Linked DNA regions of Astyanax mexicanus. The protein of the gene in region 2 interacts with the protein of the main gene of each other region in a biochemical or structural test. Links are inferred from orthologs where the notes say so. Each region holds a gene or a part of one and is shown on either strand. Other genes may lie near its edges.

The links. The genes of interacting proteins can lie anywhere in the genome.
Region 1: the proteins of rab5c (region 2) and rabenosyn-5 form a complex in vitro, tested with the Homo sapiens proteins (2 studies listed by BioGRID and IntAct, with this or other methods). The link is inferred for Astyanax mexicanus from reciprocal best matches to the Homo sapiens genes RAB5C and RBSN.
Region 3: the proteins of rab5c (region 2) and eea1 form a complex in vitro, tested with the Homo sapiens proteins (2 studies listed by BioGRID and IntAct, with this or other methods). The link is inferred for Astyanax mexicanus from reciprocal best matches to the Homo sapiens genes RAB5C and EEA1.

Annotation. Positions count from the first base shown.
Region 1 is NC_064419.1:14,644,895-14,652,868, reverse strand, and holds the start of rabenosyn-5, read left to right. Parts: upstream 1-4,957; 5' UTR 4,958-5,107; intron 5,108-5,991; 5' UTR 5,992-6,104; coding exon 6,105-6,267; intron 6,268-7,610; coding exon 7,611-7,742; intron 7,743-7,974. UniProt on the Homo sapiens protein: Rab4/Rab5 effector protein acting in early endocytic membrane fusion and membrane trafficking of recycling endosomes. Required for endosome fusion either homotypically or with clathrin coated vesicles.
Region 2 is NC_064426.1:26,224,209-26,231,537, forward strand, and holds the start of rab5c (ras-related protein Rab-5C), read right to left. Parts: upstream 3,016-7,329; 5' UTR 2,847-3,015; intron 1-2,846. UniProt on the Homo sapiens protein: The small GTPases Rab are key regulators of intracellular membrane trafficking, from the formation of transport vesicles to their fusion with membranes.
Region 3 is NC_064416.1:21,085,724-21,092,721, reverse strand, and holds the start of eea1 (early endosome antigen 1), read right to left. Parts: upstream 3,018-6,998; 5' UTR 2,862-3,017; coding exon 2,838-2,861; intron 1-2,837. UniProt on the Homo sapiens protein: Binds phospholipid vesicles containing phosphatidylinositol 3-phosphate and participates in endosomal trafficking.

The DNA of each region.
Region 1 (7,974 bases), on a different chromosome or scaffold from region 2:
GGGGGGTGAAATTAGATCTCTCTCGGGCGGTCCAGTGAGGAGTCCAGACGCATGTCTCTCAGGCAGTCCGATACAGTGCGGAGTCCAAACGGATCTCTCTCAGGCGGACCGGTACGGCATGGAGTCCGTGCAGAGCAAGGGTGTTGAAAATAGAATCTTCAGGCGGTCCGTTACGGAGCGCAGTCTGCCTGGAGCCCGGGGGTAAAGCAAGATCTCTCTTGGGCAGTCCGCTACAGAGCGGAGTCCATTTGCAGCACAGTGTCTGACATGGCATGAAGTTAGCGTGGAGCACAGGTGGTGAAGGTAGATCTCTCTCAGGTCCAGCACGGCACACAGTCTGCAGGGAGCACGGGGGGTGAAGCTAGATCTGGCTCAGGCTGTCCAGTACGGTGCGGAGTCCACACAGAGCATGAGTGGTGAAGCTAGATCTCTCTCAGGCGGTCCGGTATGTCGCGGAGTCCGCACGGATCTCTCTCAGGCAGTTCGAAACAGTGCAGAGTCTGCACGGAGCAGGGGGGGTGATAACGCGGGGTGAAGCTAAATCTCTCTCAGGTGGTCCGGTACGGCGCAGAGACCGTACGGAGCATGGGGGTGAAGCTAGATCTCTCTCAGGCTGTCCGGTACAGCGCGGAGACCGCATGGAGCACAGAGGTGAAGCTAGATCTCTCTCTGGTACAGTGCAGAGTCTGTGTGGAGCACAGGGGTGAAACTACCCAGATAGCAAGTGTAAGTTGGCTCAACGTCATTGTTTACGTTGGTTTGACGTTGGGTGTCAACCAATATTTGACGTCTCAGTGCGGTTTAAAGTGACAGTGTTTGTAAACAGTAATTATGTTGGGCGTCAACCAATGTTTGATGTTTGGCCTAGGTTGGCCTAATGTTGGCTTCTGACCAGTTAACATTAGCAAGACAAGGGCTTTGTAAACCTTTATATAGTAAAATCTATTAGCCCACAAATATGTATAACTGAATGTAAAAAGAATGTTACGTATTAAATAACCATCAAGAATGTGAAAAAAACAACAATAAATGATTGCTAAAATAATTTACTGAATGTATTTTGAAGTGGAAAAAACATGTATGTGATACATAACTAACACTAATATAAAAAAAACCAGTGGACATGGAGTCAGTCACTGAAAGAGAAAAAGAAGACTATTCTAAATGAATTATTTACATTTTAAAATTATACATATTTATTGCTAGTTAGTGCAAAGTAGTTTAAAAGCCAAGTAATAATTACATCAAGCTGAAATATTTTGCCTTCCTTCTACAAAATGTATTTCTGTTAATTTGATTTAAAAATAAATAAATAAACAGAAAGAGATTATGTAGAAGGAATGTTACATATTTAACTTGATGTAACTATTGCTTGGCTTGGCTCTATATATATATATTCCAACATTTTCGGCCACAACTGTATATACTGTATACTTTAAAATATATTTTGAATAACAGCATTATATTATAAATTATTATATATTATCTTAATTTAACCTTACCCCGCTACATTTGAGTTTATCCAACTGCGTTTAGGTGAATTCAGCTTCAACTAATTTAAATATGAACACACACAAGCCTGAATTAACGGTCGTTTTTCCCTGCGTGTAAATGACCACGCGCTTCAGAATCTCAGCATTTGTTTCATGTACAGCCTGTGCATGGTTTAAAGCACATGTGTCAAACACAAGGCCCGTCCTTTTATGTGGCCCGCGAGAGCTTGTAAAATGTTAGTGTCTATAATAAATAGGTCAGAAGCGTGCTTTGACCAAAAACTACATTTCCTACAATGCTTGTCGATTGTGTTACCCGCGAAGTTACGGCTTACTGCCACTACACGGCAGTGTAGTCATTGATGTGGAAACCCTGCCAGAGGGAAGGCGTAACTTCGCGGGTGTAATTGAGACATACAAATGTTTATCCCATAATGTCCAGAAAAAGAAAAGTTGTCACATGTTCAAAAATCTGTCACATGTTCTTAACAGCTCACAATTTTTTATTTTATATTTATTAAGGCTTATTTCAATATCAAACGTTTTGATCAAAGTTAATATAACTTGATGTCATTATATTCACTTGAATAGTTTGGTTCTTGATTGATGGAGTTTTTGGATTTCATAACATGACAAATTAAAAGGATTTATGTTAATAGAGCAACAAGCAAACATTTTTTCCATGCAACTGTAATATTTGATTGAATAAATAATATATTGAGAGTTATTTAACATTAAGGAGTAATTACATTCATTTTATATTACATTTGGTTACATTTTATTACATTTCTAAGTTACATCTGGCCCTCAGAGGACAGCCAATATGCCAATGTGGCCCTTGGCTAAAATGAGTTTGACACCCCTGGTTTAAAGGCTTAGACTTCACCTGTGACAGCTGAAGTGCTCCGTGTACACAACACACACACACACACAAACAAGATGGGAGTCAAAGTGCCAACGTTGTTTTGGATGCACACACCTGTTTTGGAGCATGACTGGAACACGGCAAGCTGCGGTGTGTGTGTGTTCTGTGCCCTGTGTGTCTGTCTGTGGGTTTTTGTTTGTTTCCGTGAACACGAGCCATGGAGGAGCCATGATCCAATATTCGTGTGTGAGACTTGACAGTTTGGGAATAAACTAAAGACCAAAGTGAGACTGACATTGGAAAAACGTTGGCATTTTGACGCCGACCTCCGCTGCTTAACGACCTTTATCCAACGTTCTAAAAATACTGCCAACCACAGACCAACGTTGCTCTGACGTCGAATTTCTACGTGTGACATAGGCGACATTTGCCAATGTTGGGCCAAAGTACTTGCTATCTGGGTAGATCTCTCTCTGGCGGTCAAATACAGCATGATGTAACTTTAGGTCCCTCTCATGTAACATACAGTCAATATAACGCTAGATACAGGTTTAAGAAGAGTTTAGAATTGCCGTATTTCTCCTCTCTCCGCTCGCTTGTATTCTAAGTTCTCCGTCTCTCCTACTTTGTATAGATTCAGCGTCCTAAATTTGTGTCTGGCTAGGGGTGGTCGGGGCCAAGGGCGTATGAGCCACCCTATAGGGTCCTAAAACAACATTTGTGGAATTACTTTTAATTACAAGTAATCCCTTTTTTCTGTTTATTATTAGTTACATCCAAGTAAAGGTGACTTTACAACCTAAACAAGTTACTCCACATTACATTTACTATTGTTAGAAAAAAAAATATGCGTGCAATGTCTGAATTATACGGAGCCCCTAAAGGGACGTGGTGTATTTTTCTTTTTACATAGAAAGTGGTGAGCACCACTTACTAAGTCGTGGGCACCACATACTAAGTTGGAGCACCACATACTAAGTCGTGAGCACCACATACTAAGTCGCGAGCACGACTTACTAAGTCGTGAGCACCACATACTAAGTCGTGAGCACCGCATACTAAGTCGTGAGCACCACTTACTAAGTCGTGAGCACAACATACTAAGTCGTGAGCACCAGATAATATATAAAGATAATTCAGATAATTCTATAAAAATATGCCAGTTATCACCCGATAGTTAAAATAATAACAACAGATTTGGTTATTATTATTATTATTATTATTATTATTATTATTATTATTATTATTATTATTATTATGCATTGGCAGGTCAATTCTGTTGTATAGTTACATTTTCTTCAATCTTTAAAAAGAAACATATTAGCATTGGATCCTGTGCTTTAAATTTTTATGCACTTCTATAATGGAAAACACACAATTTTAGGGCAGAGACCAGGATTAAGAAACTGCTTTAAACTACAGACATAAAGTACTGGACTAAATTCTGGCCATCCACAACATCCAGCTAGCTAACTAGCTTTTTTTCCCATTATAGTATACAGTAAGTCCTGTAATCCTAAATGAATGAACACAAATTGAAAATGAAATAGTGATTAGCTGATAAGGTACATCAGGGCAAGCTGAACATTACATAGTTTATTTTTTCCTTAAACCTTGAATACCTATCTATCTAATTCCAAAGTTAAACAAATCCACCTGTCTCTAATATCCCCCCGGTTCCTATGCCAATGTTCGGGGCAGACTACTCTCTGTGGTGTTTTGAAATTGGACTGCTGTGATTATTTTACGTGACTTAAAGGGTTTGGAGTTGCCTAGTCAAAGTCTGGTTGATATGCTGTGGTATGACCTTAAACAGAAAATTTTTGCTCGAAAACCTTCCAGTGTGTCTGAATTCTGAAAAGAAGAGTGGACAAAATTTCCTCCACAGAGATGTGAAAGACTCCTTGCCAGTTATTTGTAAAGCTTGATTGCAGTTGCTGCCACCAATCAAGTTATTAGGTCAAGAGGGCAAATACTTTTTCACACAGGGCTAGATTGGATTGGAATTTTTTTCCCTATAGTAAATACAATTATCATTCAATTCATTCATCATTTTTTATATTTACTCTTATCTTAATCTGATATTAACGTTTGTTTGATAATTGGAAAAATCTCAGTATGACAAAAAAGCAAAAACAAAAGAAATCTTTAGATGGGGAAAATACTTCTTCACGCTACTGTATGCACTGTTTAATTATTACATTGATTTTGAAGTTTTTGTTAATGTTTTTCAAGTAAATTGCCTTAAATATGTTGTTTCAATTCATGTATTTAGTTAGCAGTCATTATCCTATAAGAAGTGCAGATTAACATAGAACACATTTTGTTGGCAATTCTGCCTGATCGCAGTGTCCCTTCCGAGCTGCCGTATCAAAATCTTTAGATGGGGAAAATACTTCTTCACGCTACTGTATATGCACTGTTTAATTATTACATTGATTTTGAAGTTTTTGTTAATGTTTTTCAAGTAAATTGCCTTAAATATGTTGTTTCAATTCATGTATTTAGTTAGCAGTCATTATCCTATAAGAAGTGCAGATTAACATAGAACACATTTTGTTGGCAATTCTGCCTGATCGCAGTGTCCCTTCCGAGCTGCCGTATCAACTGAACGTGGGTCACATGACCCACCGTGTGATGAGGCTGCGCTGCTGCTGCTGTCGAGCTGAGTTTCACCTCCTGCAACTTCACACACTCTTACACGCCCCAACACACATTCTCCCATTCCCCGGAGCCGCAGCGGACTGCGGTAAGACCCCGCCGCGGCTCTGAGTGACTGTACGCCGGTGTAATTGCGTGTTTAAATTGTGCGGAGGCTCCTTCCGCCGCGGCTCTGCTGCTGTGTTATGCTGTAACGGGGGTTATAACAGTATCAGCTCCGACACAGTGCCGTTACTGAAGGTTTTTTACTGTCTCTAAAACGTTTAACCGCTATAATGTACTATCCTACAATCTCTCAGGACTGTCGGAACAGTCCGAGCTCATTTATTATCATTATAATACAGCGTTCATACACGCCCAGTTAACCTGCACGCAGCTAGCTAGGTTAGTTGGCTAACGTTAGCAAGCTAAGCTAACCGTTTAAGCTTTTGTTAACGCGTTATAAATCTCATCGGGTATTAATCGTTAGCTAACTAACGTAGCTAACTATATTAGTACACACCGTCTGTCGTTCTAAATAAGACTTAGAGTACCAGTAATTCGAAAACACCTTAAATTCTGTGTTTTTTAAATGTTCTGTATTGTATATTAATACCAAAGTCATCTAAACATCTGAAATTATTTAGTAAACAAAAAAGTGTTAAACAAACCAGAATATGTTTTAGATTTTTATTTTTTTTAAAGAAGCACCTCTTGCTTATTTGACTATCTCTGCATTTTCTGTGTTTCTATAAATAAATAAGTAAACAGGAGAAAAAGAAACATGATATTCAGATGTTTTATGAGTAAATACTGATCCTGAATGCTGAAGCTGTAAGGTTTAACACTGATTGATAGAGAAGACAAAAGAAGAGATTAGCAGGGTCTGGTCTTAAACAACAGTAGAGATGAATATAGACTCCTTTGTGTGTGCTGTAACTAATTATTAATGATACCTAATTACTAACATATTTACTGTATTTCTCTTTTCAGAGTGATGGAGAAGGTCTGGAGTGTGTGCTGCCTTCAGTCAGATATGCTATGAGCTTTTGGATATCACCCATTGTGCCATAGTACACCCAGCACATTTGTTCAACCCTTGACCCATGGCCTCTAGTTACCCTCCTCCGTTTGAAGGCTCAGCTGAGGTAAAGGAGGGCTTCCTTTGCCCTCTTTGTCTGAAGGACCTGCAGTCTTTCTATCAGCTGCAGGACCACTATGAGGAGGAGCACTCTGGAGACAGCCACCATGTTGGAGGACAAATAAAGAGTAAGTGCTTTTTAATACATTACCTTGGTTAAGTGGTTCAATCAATGCTTGACTTGGCCAACAGATTTTAGTGTTACAATACCAAAATTATGATATTTGATAAGATACTCCTCTAAATATCTCTACGTATTTCAAAGCAAAATCCAAAAATGTCAGAAATTAAGCTATTTTTTGTTTTTTAAATTTATAATTAAAAAAGGAAAAAAAACATAAAGATGAATACATTAAGAATAAACATCATTGTTAACATCTTTATTTATTTATTTTTCCTTTTCTCTTTAGTAAGAACATAATAGGTCTTTGAAATATCTTTGATAGTTAACTTTGTATTTGCAAGTAGAACTCACTGATTAATCTTTTAATGATATTATGGCATTATACATCTATGGTAATCGCAATTCCTAGCAATAGAAATTCGTATTATATATGAGCCATGATTAAATTTACTAGTACAGCTGAGAGTGCCTGATTTTTATTATTATTTTTAGTTTTTCTTAAAGTTAAGGTACAGGAAGTTTGGGCCAGTCCAATTGTATAGAGAGCCCTATTAGTGGTTATTTAAAAAAAATAAAAAACAAAAAAAAACATAGTTATTAGCCTACTGAAAAAGACACAAAAACACTCCCACTCCTCTGAGTTATTTTAGAGGATATAAGCATGATGTAATTGTTTTCTATAATATTCAATAAAGGAATTCTCAGAATTATTAAAACAAGTCTGCAGTTCTGTGTAGAAGATGCTTTGCTATTTGGAGCTGTTTCTCGTCTTTCTCGTCTGGTCTGCAGGTATAAAACATACTTAAGAGACGGGTATTGATGTTCATGGCTTATCTGACTGTCAGATTCGTATGCTAAATAATTCCATATTTGGCTTTATGCGTGTACTTTATGTAGAAACTGAGGACTGTCGGGAAAAACGTTGGTATTACGCTGTGTTCTGTGCAAACACACTGCCCCCGGTGGCACTCCTATTTAAAAATATTCTCATTCTTACCAGTACCAGTACTGCCGACCTCACTCGAAATTCCATAATTCATGTTACCAAGCTGGCTTTACTCACAAGATAAACACCTTACAATTTAAACCAATGTGGGTCTTCCCAAGTTGTCCCCTGAGGTACTCTTACTTTTGTTGTGATTTTTTTTTTTTTTTGTAATGTGGTAAAGCCAGAGGCTGCGGTCTGAGTTCTCGTTTGATAAAATAAACAAGTCTGAAGCTTGTTTTCGGTACATTTATACTTCTGACTGCCACTACTTCCACTACCAGTCATTACAGTACCAGCACAACTGGTGCACTATTCTATTATAGGAATCACTTTGATATATTTTCTATGTTGTCACTCAGGTTTAGTGCAGAAGGCAAAGAAGGCCAAAGACAAGCTTCTGAAACGGGATGGAGACGAGAGAACTGAGACCAGCTATGAGTCTTTCTACTGTGGAGGAGTGGACCCCTACATGTGGGAGCCTCAGGAACTGGGTGAGACTGAGGGAATTACTGCTAATGACAGAGCACAATATACCTGGCACATTGTAATTGGAGAACTTTGTATTTCTCTGATACCGATAGAAACGTTGGACTGATAATATCAGAAAAGGAAAAAATAAAAAAAAAAGTCTGAATGAATGAATTCACAATGTCACAAACTTATTTGTAGCTGAAACTATTGCATAGTCATCAGTTGACATTTATTATTTCAGTATTGTCTTTT
Region 2 (7,329 bases):
CTAACACTGCTATTTGGTCCTTTAAACTATGCCATAAAAAGGGAAGTAAATTTAATACATGTTTTTGTTTATCTCATTTTAACAAAGTTAAAGAATATATCCTGTGGTTCTTTATGGGACAATAAGAGGTTCTCTAAGGGCACTGCTCAAAGAACTACGTGAAGCACCTTTATTTTTAGGAGTGTAGTAGTGCAAAATTTATTGACAGTTAATCATTGTCATGATACTGGCTTTGGCAGTATTGATATTGCACAGATAGAGATAGTGTATTGATATGGAAGGCTTGATAACAGCAGAAAATCTTGGCTTGGGTTAGAGGTGGGCAATAACTTTAGAAATCTGATTTTGATTGGATTATTGATTTATTTTTTTAACCTTGGAGTCCTGATTTACATCATCAAAAAAACATAAAAAAAAGGTTTTTGGTTGCCCTATGTTTATGTTCTTAGAAAATCATACTGTGTTTGATGGCGATTTGTGGTTCAGCCCTGTCCTTCTATTCAGCAGAATTATTACACAACCTCCAGCTTTTTTCTCTTTCTATTTTCTTTACCATCTCTTTCACATGTATTGAGATGCCCTGTTCTCTCTGTGCTGTTGTTTTGTTGTTATATGTTTGTACTGAGCGGGTCTTGGTTCCACTTAAGGTTTCATCACAATTATTGGCATCTCTGTAGTGCTCAAATCACAAGAGGCATGGACCTGTTTTCTCTGTAAAGCAGCTTTGTGACAACTTTTGTTGTAAAAACCTCTATATAAATAAAATTGAACTGAATTGAATTTGAGTGGGTCAGGGGTTTGATTTTATTATCCAATTGTTCTGTCCTGTAAGGTACAAGTGTTTTTTAAATAAAAAGGCCCTATACAATACAAATCTTAACATCAACAATATGCCCAGAACACACAGCACTACCTGAGCCACAAATAAACCTTTAGAAACTGCTCTTAGCTGAGAAAAAACTACTCTCCACATCAGTCATCACATGTCAAGCCACAGCTTCAGCCATGAGGTGTCAAACCATCACTGTGAAAGTGATAAAAACATGCGAAGATCAACCTCAAGACACCATCATGTGTAGCCTATTCGAAAATGCTAGAGAGCAAAAGTCCACCCCTGTGCTAACTTAGCTATATAACATGGTCAGCCTTGTGTTATGTCAGGTCACATAGCTAAATCCTTACTGGGTATCAAAGGTTAAGAAACAGCATTAAAAAAAATGAAGCTCCATCAGAACAACCCAACAGAGGCAGTGGTATAACCTTTTATCACTATGACTCAGCCCAAAACACTTACTAACTCTAGTTAACACGACTGACCACAAACCAGGTCTTCATATCAGTTATTTGACTTTATGAGACAAGTTCAGACAGGCGTAGGCCACAGGAAACTCAAAGTGAAGGCTACAGCAATGACTCAGCTGGCTAGCCAGCTACTGTGGCTGGTCTGGTTTAGCTTGAGAATTAGCTGACTTTCGATTTCTGTGTGACACGCACCTAATTTTACATATTCCCAGTACTAGAGCTTCCCTTTAACATAAGAACATGGACTCTTTGATTAAAAATGTATCTTAAGATGGAAATGGTTAACTAAGGTGCATGACCACTCCTCCTCCATTTGATAGCTAAGCTAAGCAGATTGGCTGGCTAGTTAAATGGGACATTTAAAACTTGAGCTCTGATCCTGCTGCATAAGATGAGTATAACTCAACTTACTAGGCTAACTTAACTAACAAGCTTAGCTTAGCTATTAAATTACAGCAACAAAATAGCTAAATAGCTAGCTAGCTTAACCCCAAACACATCTCCAACAATAATCACATAACGTTAGGTTGGGTTAGCTAGTTAGCGAACCCTACCCAACACAAACCCATGTCTCATAAGCTCACTTTTAGGACTTTTTTGTCATGTTTAGAAACACAATTAACCTCTAAAATATATGACATTAGCGACATGCTTACAAACAAACAAACTATAAAAGGCAAAAGCTTTCTCTTAGAAGCATAGCTAAGCTAGCTAACATAACGCTAACGTTACCTCAATAGAAGGGGTGGGTAAGCCAGCTCCAGAAAGTAAGAATCCCTCCCAGAGTTTTGTACCAACTGCCTGGGCGGCTCTGTTGCAGCTGAACCGCCCAGGGAGTTGGTACAAAAACCTGGGATGGATTTTTACTTTCTAAAGCTGGCTTATCCACCTCTACTTAATAGTCGCTTTAGCTAGATATGGTTAGCTAAGCTAGATATGCTAGCAACACAGTGTCCACATAAAATAGTGACCAAAGGCTAAATGGGCAAACGCTTTTTTAATGGCGACTAGCGACAAATAAACAACCAAACCAACTAAATATGTGTTTTAATCGCACAAATACACAGTTAATAAGTGAATACGACATAGAGGACGTATCTATGTTTATTAACAACGCCAACAAGCTCGAAAAAGCAGAAGCTGCCTGCAGACACCAATCCACTCACTGGCTAAGCTGGCTAAGCTAGCTAGCTAAACTAGCGTTAGCTAACAGTCTTCTGAATTTGTTGTTATGTCAACAGGCTAATCAAGATAGCTAAGCTTAGCTATAAGCCAACTAATTAAGCTGGTGTCACTGGTAAAACTAGCGTTAGAGTTTTAATACGTGTACTCACAAGAAGAGAGTAGGTTTAGCTAAATAGACAGGAGACGCTTTTATTAAACTCCAGGCTGGGGAGTGAGTTAAGCTAACGCTAGCCAGCAACGTAGAAGCTAACAGGCGATAAACATGACCGTTCAGCTGTCTAACCAACGTTTTAATACCTGCCATCGACAGTGTCGACCAGAAAAAAGCTGTTAACTGAATAAAAACGTGCTGGATTTACCTTAGAGTCTCTCACACGGAAGACTGACTCAGGGTCAGAGCGCAATTCCTGCCTCTCGCCGCCCCAAAGCTGCCTCTCTCACCACGGGCCCCGCCGGCATTCGCTTCCGCGACTTCAGCGATCCTCAGCGATCCTCCTATTTCCGAGCGCAGGGACTTTTACTGCTGACGGACTGGGAGAAGCACCAGTCAGATCAACTCACCTGCAGACAGAGAGGGGAAGTGTTGCTTGTGTTTCCTCAGAGTCAGAAGTTTGGATGATTTTAGTTCTTTCTGAATATTGTCAAATAAAAGACTGAGGATACATTTACTTGTACTTTAGGCTTAATGCCTCTAAAAGCCTCGACTGATATGACTGACTGACTGGGCGTCCCCTCCCCACCTGAGGTAAAATGAGGTAAAAAGTATGTCGTATTATAGTTATTGAAATACTAATTGTATTCCTATGTGATTCATTTATCTGTATCGTTTTCTCAATTTAGTTAATTACGGACTCCTTCAGTTTAACACAATAAAAGTGTTCCCTTAAATTTTCCCATTCTTTTCCTTAGTTTAATAAGGTGTTCCCTCAATTTAAAAAAATCGTTCCATTAATTTAGGTAACCAATTACTCTAGTTTTATTAATAGTTCCTTTAATTTTATAGATCATTACCAAACAAACCACTCCACAAATTTAATAATTCATTGCCCCATTTTAACAGTTTAGCCCCATAGTTTAAAAAATAGTTCCCTTAATTTAATAGATCATTCCCAAACAAACTGCTCCACCAATTTAATAAATTGTTACCTCATTTTAGCAGTCCAGTTTCTTATTTTAATAAATTGTATCCTTTTATTTAAAAAACTTTCTTTGATTTAACAGTCTGCTCCCTTAATTTAATAAATTATTCCCAAAAAACTACTCCATCAATTTAACAAATCATTACCTAATTTTAATAGATCATTCCTAAGCAAACTTCTCCACCAATTTAATAAATTGTTACCTCATGTTAACAGTTTAGTCCCTAAGTTCAATAAATTGTTCCCTCAATTTAGTAACATGTTTCTTCGTTTTAACAGTGTGCTCCCTTAATTTAATAAATAATTTCCAAACAAACTGCTCCACAAATTTATTAAATCACTACCTCATTTTAACAGTCCAGTCCCTCAATTGTTCCCTCAATTTAATATCTTGATCCTTCTATGTAACAGTCTGCTTCCTTAATTTAATATATCATCCACAGTTCTGGTATGTAAAATATACGCTACTAACACTCATTTTTGACATAGATGTGAAAGTGCATCCATACAGCATGTCTAGTCTCTGTAGAAAAGTACTGCCAAACAGAATAAAATTCTCTGAATTTACTGACATCATGCCAAATGCCAGAAATGAAGTGGAGGAATATAAAGCCCCCAGGATTGAGCTGTGGGAGAGTGGAACTGTGTTGAATGATGGAAAGCCATCCAACCATCCAACATCCTAAAGCAGGGGTGTTCAAACTTTTTCTGTTGGGGGCCAGAAAGAAGAAATATATTTGAAGTCACGGGCCACAGACTCTGTAATAAAACAAATAATGAAATACACCACTTTAAATAATACATTTTCCTCATTACTTTCATTTACACACCATTTTACTTGACTTACTATCTTTATCTATCTTTGACAGTGTTGTGTAAACTAAGATTTTTCAAATTGATGTTTCATTTCATGAGGTCTCTTAATATTAAACTCCTTAATTACGGCAACTTTTAGACTCTTTGGCCCGTTTTTCTGCGCTAAAACTGAGCACTCTCTTCGCTTTTAGACTTTTTGGCCCGTTTTTCTCCGCTAAAACTGAGCACTCTCTCCGCTTTTAGACCCTTTGGCCCGTTTTCTTGCGCTACAACTGCGCATCCTCTCCGCTTTTAGACTCTTTGGCCCATTTTTCTGCGCTAGAAATGCGCACTGTCTCCGCTTTTAGACTCTTTGGCCCGATTTCTGTGCTACAACTGCGCACCCTCTCCGCTTTTAGACTTTTTGGCCCGTGTTTCTTAGGGCTGGACCCGAATATTCGGGTATTCGGATATTCGTTCGTTGAGTAGGTATTCGGTTTTTAATTTTGGTATTCGGATATTCGTTTTTTTTCTCCTTTCCAGAGTTCCACCTCACTCTAACCACTTCTGTTCTCGCGGGTCCCGTCAGAATATCTTGCGCGCGGGACAGAACTGAACTGTTATTGGCTGGAGCGGGAGTTTAATCCAGACGATGCGGGAGCAAATTAATAAATAGTTAAGAAAACTGTAATAATTGTAAAAAAAAAAACCTAAAGAAAACTCTCAACGCGCAGGATGGACCGACACACACGCACACACCGATGGTGTTTGGACTGGGGTAAGGAACGGGACCACACTATTCAGCGCTGCTGTTTTAATAAATATATAAGTAAATTTGAAGCATTAAATGTAGTTTATTTAATTTATATTAGGAACGCGGGGCGGGAGCGGCAGAAATGTGTATGTGGCGGGCGGGCGCGGGATTAAAAGAAGCAATTTTTTTGCGGAGCGGTAACGAGACAGAAACGCGGGAGCGTGGAAGAGTGGGTTTAAAAATCAGTCTCGCGCAGACCTCTATTATACATGATAAAAAAAAATGCAGGCTCTTCGAAACTGATTTATATAATAAAACGTAAGGGGTAATGTGGCAACAGTAGGGGCTAAATCGGTTACAAAAGCCTGGCCTACAAAAATGATGTCTGAACGAATTTCCTCTTATCTAATATAATTTAAAATGGTTTAAAAATATAAAATAATTTCTAAGCAAACGAAATATTTAATATTGAGCTTATAGCCCAAGTGCAAAAATACAAAATCAGTAATACGGCTATGCCCTGCACAATCCTTAAACCGAAATAGACCAAGTACAATAACGTCATTAACAATGACTTTCCTCTACTCTAATATAATTTAACATGGTTTAAAAATATAAAATAATTTCTAAACAAACGAAATATTTAATATTGAGCTTATAGCCCAAGTGCAAAAATACAAAATCAGTAATATGCCCTGCACAATCCTTTAACTGAAATAGACCAAGTACAGTTTACAATGACTGTCCTCTAATATAATCAACAATGTTTAAGAATATAAAATACTTCCTGAACAAACGTTTTTTTTGTTTGTTTTTTTAAGCAAATAGCCTAAGTGTGAAAACACAAACAGCAATTTACTGGGCTGGCTTGCGCAGCGGAGAAACCGTGCAGCAGCAGCCTCGGTGTGGGGCAGCAGAAATTCCGGGATGAAAACACAAAGAAATCTGGGCTAAAAACACAGAAAAAATATGGGGTGAAAACACAAAAATCCGGGATAAAAACACCAAAAATCCGGGGTGAATATGTCTCGTCGGTCAGAGCAAATTGAACATTTTTCAGTGGATTAAAGGGGCCGTGATTTGCTTTTTTTTTTTACCTCTTTTTTTAAAAACGAATATTCGAATATTCGCTTCGAATCAGTGCCGAATATCCGGAGCTCAAAAAACGCTATTCGGGCCAGCCCTAGTGTTTCTCCTCTAAAACTGAGCACTCTCTCCGCTTTTAGACTCTTTGACCCGTTTTCCTTCGCTACAACTGCGCATCCTCTCCGCTTTTAGACTCTTTGGCCCGTTTTTCGGCGCTAGAAATGCGCACTGTCTCCGCTTTTAGACTGTTTGGCACGTTTTTCTGCGCTACAACTTCACTCTCGCCGCTTTTAGACTCTTTGGCCCGTTTCTTACACCTAGCGTTCAAACTTTGAATCTCACATTATAAAAACCTGCTTAACAGCGGGCCAACTTTCATTCTATTTCATTCTAGCCTTTTATGGATATTAGAGACAGTTCATAGTTACAATAAACTATTTATTAAAGACCTTGATTTTGAACGAAACAATGCATCTCCTGGTGTCCCAATAATTTGGTCCATATAGTGTATATTTCTGAATAACTCATTTTATATTTTCCGTTATAAATCACCTTCACTTGATTCATTTGATTGAAGAGACTAACTATTTCTACATCTGAAACAACTTAAATAACTGTATCTGTAGCTGTTTCTATGGTCAAAAATAGTTAGCCTATTGCCTGAGGTCATGTTGTTACTTGTAGTTTTGTTTATGTAGTTTACTTTTAAAAAACCTTGTTCTCTTCATCATTTTATTGAGGAGATTAACTATTCCTTGTGGCTGAAACAACAGATACAGCTGTACCTGGCTTACATTGCCTGAGGTCATGTAGTTACTTACTTTTAGTCAAGCACGTTTACATTGATGAACCCCAAACATTTAAATAATTTAATTGAGGAAATTAACTATTCCTGTGTCTGATACAGCTGTGTAGTTGTTACTAAGGGCAAGAACAGTCAGTCTACATTGCCTAAGGTAATGTTTTTTTTCTTTTATTAATGTAGTTTTACCTTTATAATCCTGAATCACTTGAATCAACTGATTGAGGGTCTTAAACTACTGGTATTCACTGTGTCTTATACAACAG
Region 3 (6,998 bases), on a different chromosome or scaffold from region 2:
CTAGGAGCACTGCGACGCCCCTCCACCGCTCTGCCGCTCACTGCCTCCCACCTCCTAACTGATGAGCGGTGATGTTGCGTCGCTTCAGCTCCGCCTCTGGGAGTTTCTCGAGCCAAGGTGGGCTGGTCTGTGAGTTTCTGCCTACGTAGGCAGAAAGATAATTCAAAATTCACCCGTTTTTCGGAGGGGGGGAGGGGGGATTTCTTTGCTTAGCTCCTGCAGACAATGGGGGCTGCAAAACAGTTTAATGTGCAGGTGTACACATTCAACTCGGAGAGACCTACTGTATTCCACAAAAAACAAGAAAAATCGGATTTTCGCGGAAGGTGAACTTTAAAAAAATAGTGTGACAGCATTGTGCCCTTTATGGTTGCACTTGGCATGGCTGTTGATTAGGGACATTTGAGGATATACTTGAAACATAATACTGCTTAAGAGAAGCGTTATACATTTCTCCTCACCAAACACTGACCCTAGCAACCGGAAAACAGCAGCCACTGGTGATTCAAACAATATTACACGACACCACATGGCATGTCACTCACTTTTCCAAGTAGGCTAAATCAAAGTCAGTGCAGTAAGAGTAAGTTGTATTAAAATAACAATGCAACACTTGCCCACTGGTTTTCCAGGGAAATGAGTCATTCCAAAAGGGCTTCAGATTATTGTAATGCCCCAGTTCTCTCGCTCACGTAGTAACTTCTAACACCATCTCCTAATGCAACCAGAAGGCAAGCATGTGCCAGTCAACCGTTCCTTTTCCAACTATCTTTCCAAAACTGGACAGCTGAATGGGCTTGTGGGACGAAACATCTCCCCAAGTGATGTAGTGGGAGAGGGCCATCCTAGGCCAACTGTACTCTTGTGCTCGGAACTCTTGGCTACAGATGGCTGTGGCATCAAGAGAGATCTCCTGTTGTCTGAGCCAATGTTTATTTAGATGGCTATTAAAACCTAATAAACCTAATAATAAATACATTCTGTAACTATACTTAATTATATAATAGTCGGGACACATTTTAGGAGTAATGAATATACTTTTGTACTAACAGCAGCCAGTAGCCTTTCTCCCCTCAGACATTACTTTAACATAGAGACAAGGGACAGACACTTAGGCTGTTTTCCCTGACAGAGACAAGGTTTCCTTTCAATGGAAAATCTCAGTTCAAATGCTGCATAGTCCAAAACTAGGCTTAATTTCTATCTGGTAAAATTGCCCCTTAAAGTGTTCTGTCACAATAAAGATGTGCTTAAGACAATTTGGCTCTTCCTTGCTTGTATTAACACTGTAAACTTGCTTTTACAACATGTCTAATAAAAAAAGTCTTCTAATAGAATGACAGTAGAATGTGTCCAAATACTGGTCCACCCTTATCCTTCCCAATCCAGCAATGAGACAAACAAGTCTTAGCACACGGATACCCATCTCCTACTGCATTTTTCTTAAAAGGACCAGTCAAGTAGGGCTGCAATTACTGATTATTTTGGTAGTTGACTAATCTGATTATTTATTTTTTTAAATAAGTCAACGATTACTTCTGCCATAAGATTTAAAAGCTGTTTAAATTATAAACATGAATTTCTTTTATGTTTGATTATTATGCCATACAGGCAATGAAAACCCAAAAATCAGTGTCTTAGTAAAGAAGAATATAATATAAGACCAACCGGTACTTTTGGTAGTGTGGACATCTTGCTAAATTCTGCTGGAAAATGAATCCCGCATCTAAATAAAGTTGTGAGTAGAGGAAAGCATGAAGTGCTGCAAGAATTACTGGGAAAATCTGCTGGTCTTGGTCCACTGTGTTATATCAAGTACAAAAAAAGTGCAGTATTTTCCCGGACAATCTTACAGCACTTCATGCTTCCCTTTACTGACAACTTTATGGAGATGTGGATTTCATTTTTCAGTAGGACTTGGCACATTGCTAAGCTTGCCAATAGTACCAACTGGTCTTATATAGATAATATTTCAATATTCTCATAAACTGATTTTTTGGTTTTCATTAGCTATAAGCCATAATCATAAACAAAAAAACAAATAAAGACTTAAAATAGATCAGTGTGTGTGTGTGTGTGTAATAAATCTATATAATATATGATTTTCACCATTTGCACTGAATTACTAAAGTAGTTATGTAACTTTTCAATGAATGATAACATTTTTTTTAGATGCATTAGTAGTTAACCTAGATAATCTACAGTGAAGAAGCTGGTCAGTCACAGACAGAAACAGAAAGTGGCCAACATTCAACAGAATGCAGTAAACCATTACACAAGCCCCTGGAATAAATGAAAAACACTTGACAACAACGAAACAAACTTCTCTCTCATTAATTCAACAACTAATATTACTCCCACGACTAATAAACTGGGTGAACTTAACATTATTTAGTTGAAACCTTTCAGAATGAGCCCATGACAGCTTTATAGCTTGAGCTAGCGTTACTAGCCTTTCGGCACCACGGCTAGTCACAGTTACTAGGCTAAAGCTAGCTAGCCTAGCCTGCTAGCTATCTAGTAAGTTAGCTAGCTAACGTACTGTTTACAGGGCAGTACATAACAGTAAACAAGCAATTTTGCGTTGTTTTGCCCTGTCTGGCAGCTACATTTAGCTACTGACCTACTATATATGTTTTAAAATAGCAGTTTAATAGACACACCCCTGCTTAGCTAGCTTAGCTATTTCTTACTGCCTTTTTAATACAGGCCTCCATTCAAGCCTCCACTGACGGCCGCTACGTTAGCAAAACTAGCCTAGCTTAGCCAGCTAGCTAAACATACTAAAGCCATAGCTACTGATGCAGCCTCGTTGCAGGATTCTCCTTTATTCTTACCATCTGTAATATTCGTCTGAACATTTTGGTTTCGTTGTTTTTCTGTAGTTTAAACTGTCACGAGTCAGGAGGTCTTTCTCCGCTGGTGTATAATGTTATTCTCGGGTGTTTCCTTCCACCTGCCCGGAGCGCAGCGCACCGCAGCGTCAACCAGCAGCACATGAGTGGGTAGGCGGGTCTGCGGAGCTGCGTGGAGGAGGGAGGAGGGACTCGGCACTCAGGCAGGATTTCGGTTAAAAACTGATATTTCAGGTCAGTGTAACATTTAGCAGCTTAATTTTCTGACCGTTTGAGAAAAAAATGCAAAATTAGAAAATTGGAAATAAAAACATTTTTTATGTCGTGCAGTGTACAAGAAATACTTTTTCATCCAAGTTGGATTATAACATCAGCTTTGTGTTACAAGACACAAAAATGGGCAAATATGATTATCAAGAGAAGATAAAACTTTTATTTTTTTCTCGAAATTATGTTTGTGTAAGGCTGAAATAAAAAAAAACTAAATAATGACTTTAGTGAATTAACTCTTCACTAAACAAAATGGAAAAAATATGAAGTTTTATACCTTATTTTTTATTTAAGCTTGGTACAGTCAGAAAATTAAACTAATAAATGTTACACTGACCATTTTAGACCAGGGGTGGGCAATTCATTTTCCCAAGAGGCCACATGAGAAATTGCAACCGTTTTAGAGGGACATACTAATGTACAAAATAAATTAGCTTGGTTCTGCACAAACATAATGAACACAATGAACAATGTTACACAAAGTTCAGCGGTTATTATTTGATAACTATTGATTTGCCTATTTCTAAAATCCAATCCTCCCTCCAATAGAAGCACATTCATCTGTAGTCACTCATTACTAGAGGTGGGTAACCCAGGTCCCAGGGTTACCCACTTCTGCTCATCACACACGATGGTATTTTCCACTCTTGCCAGACCACACATGTCCACCACCTACCGGGTCGTATGGAGGAGGAGGTGGACTCTTCTGAAGCAACAGTAAAATTGATCCAGTTGTTGACAGCATTCAATTCCAGTTATTTATTACAGGGAGAAATGGAGAAACAGCGAGGCCTGCTTTACAAGACCGCAAATATGAAGTACCAGAATTTATCCTCTAACCAAAAAGCTTATTTTGTGGTGTAAAACAGCTTTGAACATTAAGGACACAAACACAAAGATTTCTCCCCCAGAAAAGCATTTCAGACAGTGAGGAGGAACTGCCATTCAATTTCAAATCCCAACAGTTTGGACACATTCTCTCATCCAATGTTTTTTTTCTATATATATATTTGTATTATTTAATTGTATTATTTATTTTATTTTTTATTTATTTTATTATTTATTATTTTATATTTCTTTTTATATTTTATTTTACATTTATTTATTTTGTAGATTAAAATCAAAGACATGAAAATTAGGGACACATTATTTAGTATCATGTGACCTAAACCGTATCAGCTGAGATGGTGATTTGAGCTGATTTGGGATGAGCTGAAGCTTCACAGCACGAAGAAAAAAGCAGCAACTATTATTCAGGACCCCCAGGAACTCCTTCAAGACGCTGAGAAAACTATTTCAGGTGACTCTACCTCATGAAGCCACTAAGATTAAAATACCAAGAGTGGGCAAACACACTCAAGAGTGTGTTTAAATATCAAGTGGCTTCAGTGTAGATTTGTTAGCCTATACCCAACTTGTCAGACAATATGTAAAGTCTGGAATTATCATGGCATTCGCATGTCGTTGCAGTTTCACAATTAAGTAATTTTCGAATAAATGTAAAAATATTAAATCGAATCTGACTTGTTGCCACACAGTTGTTACATTTCCATTTGCAACTATCAAAAACACAAATTGTAGTCAAATTGCCACCAACTTGAGTGTGAATGAATGAGTAGGTAGTACCCTGTGTTGCACTGGCATCTGGTCCTGGAGGTATCCTTGCCTCTTACCTAGTGATTATTCCAGGTATCACGAAGAAACAGAGACGTAGATGAATGGAAATCTGTTTAGATTTAATCCAACTTGCTCCTCTTCTGTTTTGTTCTGACTTTAAGAACAGAATTGAAGAGCTAAATACATCAGTTTAACCAGCAGCATAATCAGGAACTGAAAGAGGAATTAACCAGTGGGTGGAACAGAATTCATGAGAAAAAAAACCTCTTCTTCTGGGCTTTCTGGAAGTCATAGCTACCTGTGTGACTGTAGTCTACCAGTTGTAGTGTAACTACTGTTACGGCTCTTCAAAGTGGTTTTATCGGGACCCACCTTTTATCTGGAACAACAACAAAAAAGTTCCACTGTATTAATGTTAGTGCTAATGTATTATTTTCAGAATATTAATAAGAGGTCTACCAGACATTTGAATTATTAGTAAGGTGTTTTTTGGGCACTTATTGCCCAAACTGAAGGACCTAATTTGACCTAATCTTCCTCAAACACAGATGACCATAGATTTTTCGTATAACATCTGTAGCCTGAATATTGCATACAAAGACTGCATACATTGGTATCTACATCATATATCCTTTCTTTCTCAACCACAAGTGCATATACAGCATTTATTTATCCAATAAAAACCAGTGAAGACAAAATCAAAATCCAATGCATTAGTGAAGACATGATTGGTGAAATTTGTCTTCAGTCATTTGTAGGACTAATAATCATGGCTGTAGTCACAACATATAATGGGCAGGACACCCCCTAACTAGAAAAAAAAACATATTTTACTAAAAACTGCCAATAATTGTATAGAGTATAAATGAACATTTTGCAATTGAAGTCATCAATGTCTTTATATTTCATTATCATTTATTAGAAATACAATGTGAATTCTAGGTAAATGTCAATCACAGGTGTATCATGTAGAGAGTAGTAGTTTTCATTTATTAAGGTCATTAGCAAAATGAAAGGTGGAAATGACATATGGCAGTTTTTGGCAGTTTCAGGTAAAATGTTAATACAAATGTTCATTGTTTAACCCAAGGTTAGCAGCTTGGAAATAATATATTTTGGTTGCCTTGGTTGCATTTTCATTCACAATAACCACATTAAACATATTTCCCACCACAGCAAAGAGCCAAATAACCCAGGCAGGGACCCAATTTAATGTTCAGTCATTGCCTTAACTGACTGCATTGGTGGCTCAGTCACCAGAATGCTGGGTTACTGGTTCTAGACCCAGGTTCACTCAAATGCTACTGTAGGAAAGGCCCTTCACTCTGATCCTAGTTTTCCCAGCTGGAATATGCAGAGATCATTGTATTATACTGTACAAGTGGATAAGCATAATGACAATACTTAAAGAATTTGAAGATCAAAAGCTTTCTTGCCTCAATTGTCTTTTACCATTCAATGATCCAGGGCTGTTGAGAAGATATTTATAAACAATAACAACAAAAGTTGAGGCACAGTCGCCAGCATTAAATAGGTTTCAAGATTGTTGGGACACACAGAAAGCAGTTAATAAACAGCTGTTTAATAGGTTGAGTTCACATTTAAGATCAACCCGTGAAAACAACTTACAGCATTTTAGATTTAGAACATAGGCAAAAAATAGCACTAAAGTCTTCTAAAGCAATCAGAGGCACATCCCAGTGAACTTGAGGATGCGTAAGAGTGTTGACTGCTTTTAAAGGCACCAAGCTCAGTCAAATAATAATGAACTTTCAGAATTTTTCGGAAGAAAATAGCTTAAAAAAAAAATCATTTTTTGGCAATTTGGTTGTGAATTTGTACATCAAGTATTTTTTTGCACATCTTTATTATCCTGTTCTTATCTAAAGATTCATTTTTTTAAACCACCACTCAAACCATGAATAAATAACACTATAAATCCAGCAGTCATCTCAGCTCTTTCTCTTTACCTCTTCGTAATTCCATCCACAGATCACGATCCGAAATGTCCACCAGTGTCACTGTAGCTTTCACTTTCAGCTCAATTCCAACATCCTCTTGTTTGGCTGTGTCAAACTGTCTTGCAGAAAAATGAAAATCTATACACACTACAAGCTTGAGGCAAAAGTCAGAGGCAGGCTCTCCTCTGATTTCTCAACGATTTAAAAAACATTTCTCAAATAGTAAACATGGAAACAATACATGCAAAAAGAGTCTTTTTCCAGTCCAAAGAGAAATTCCTGTGTGTGGTGCACA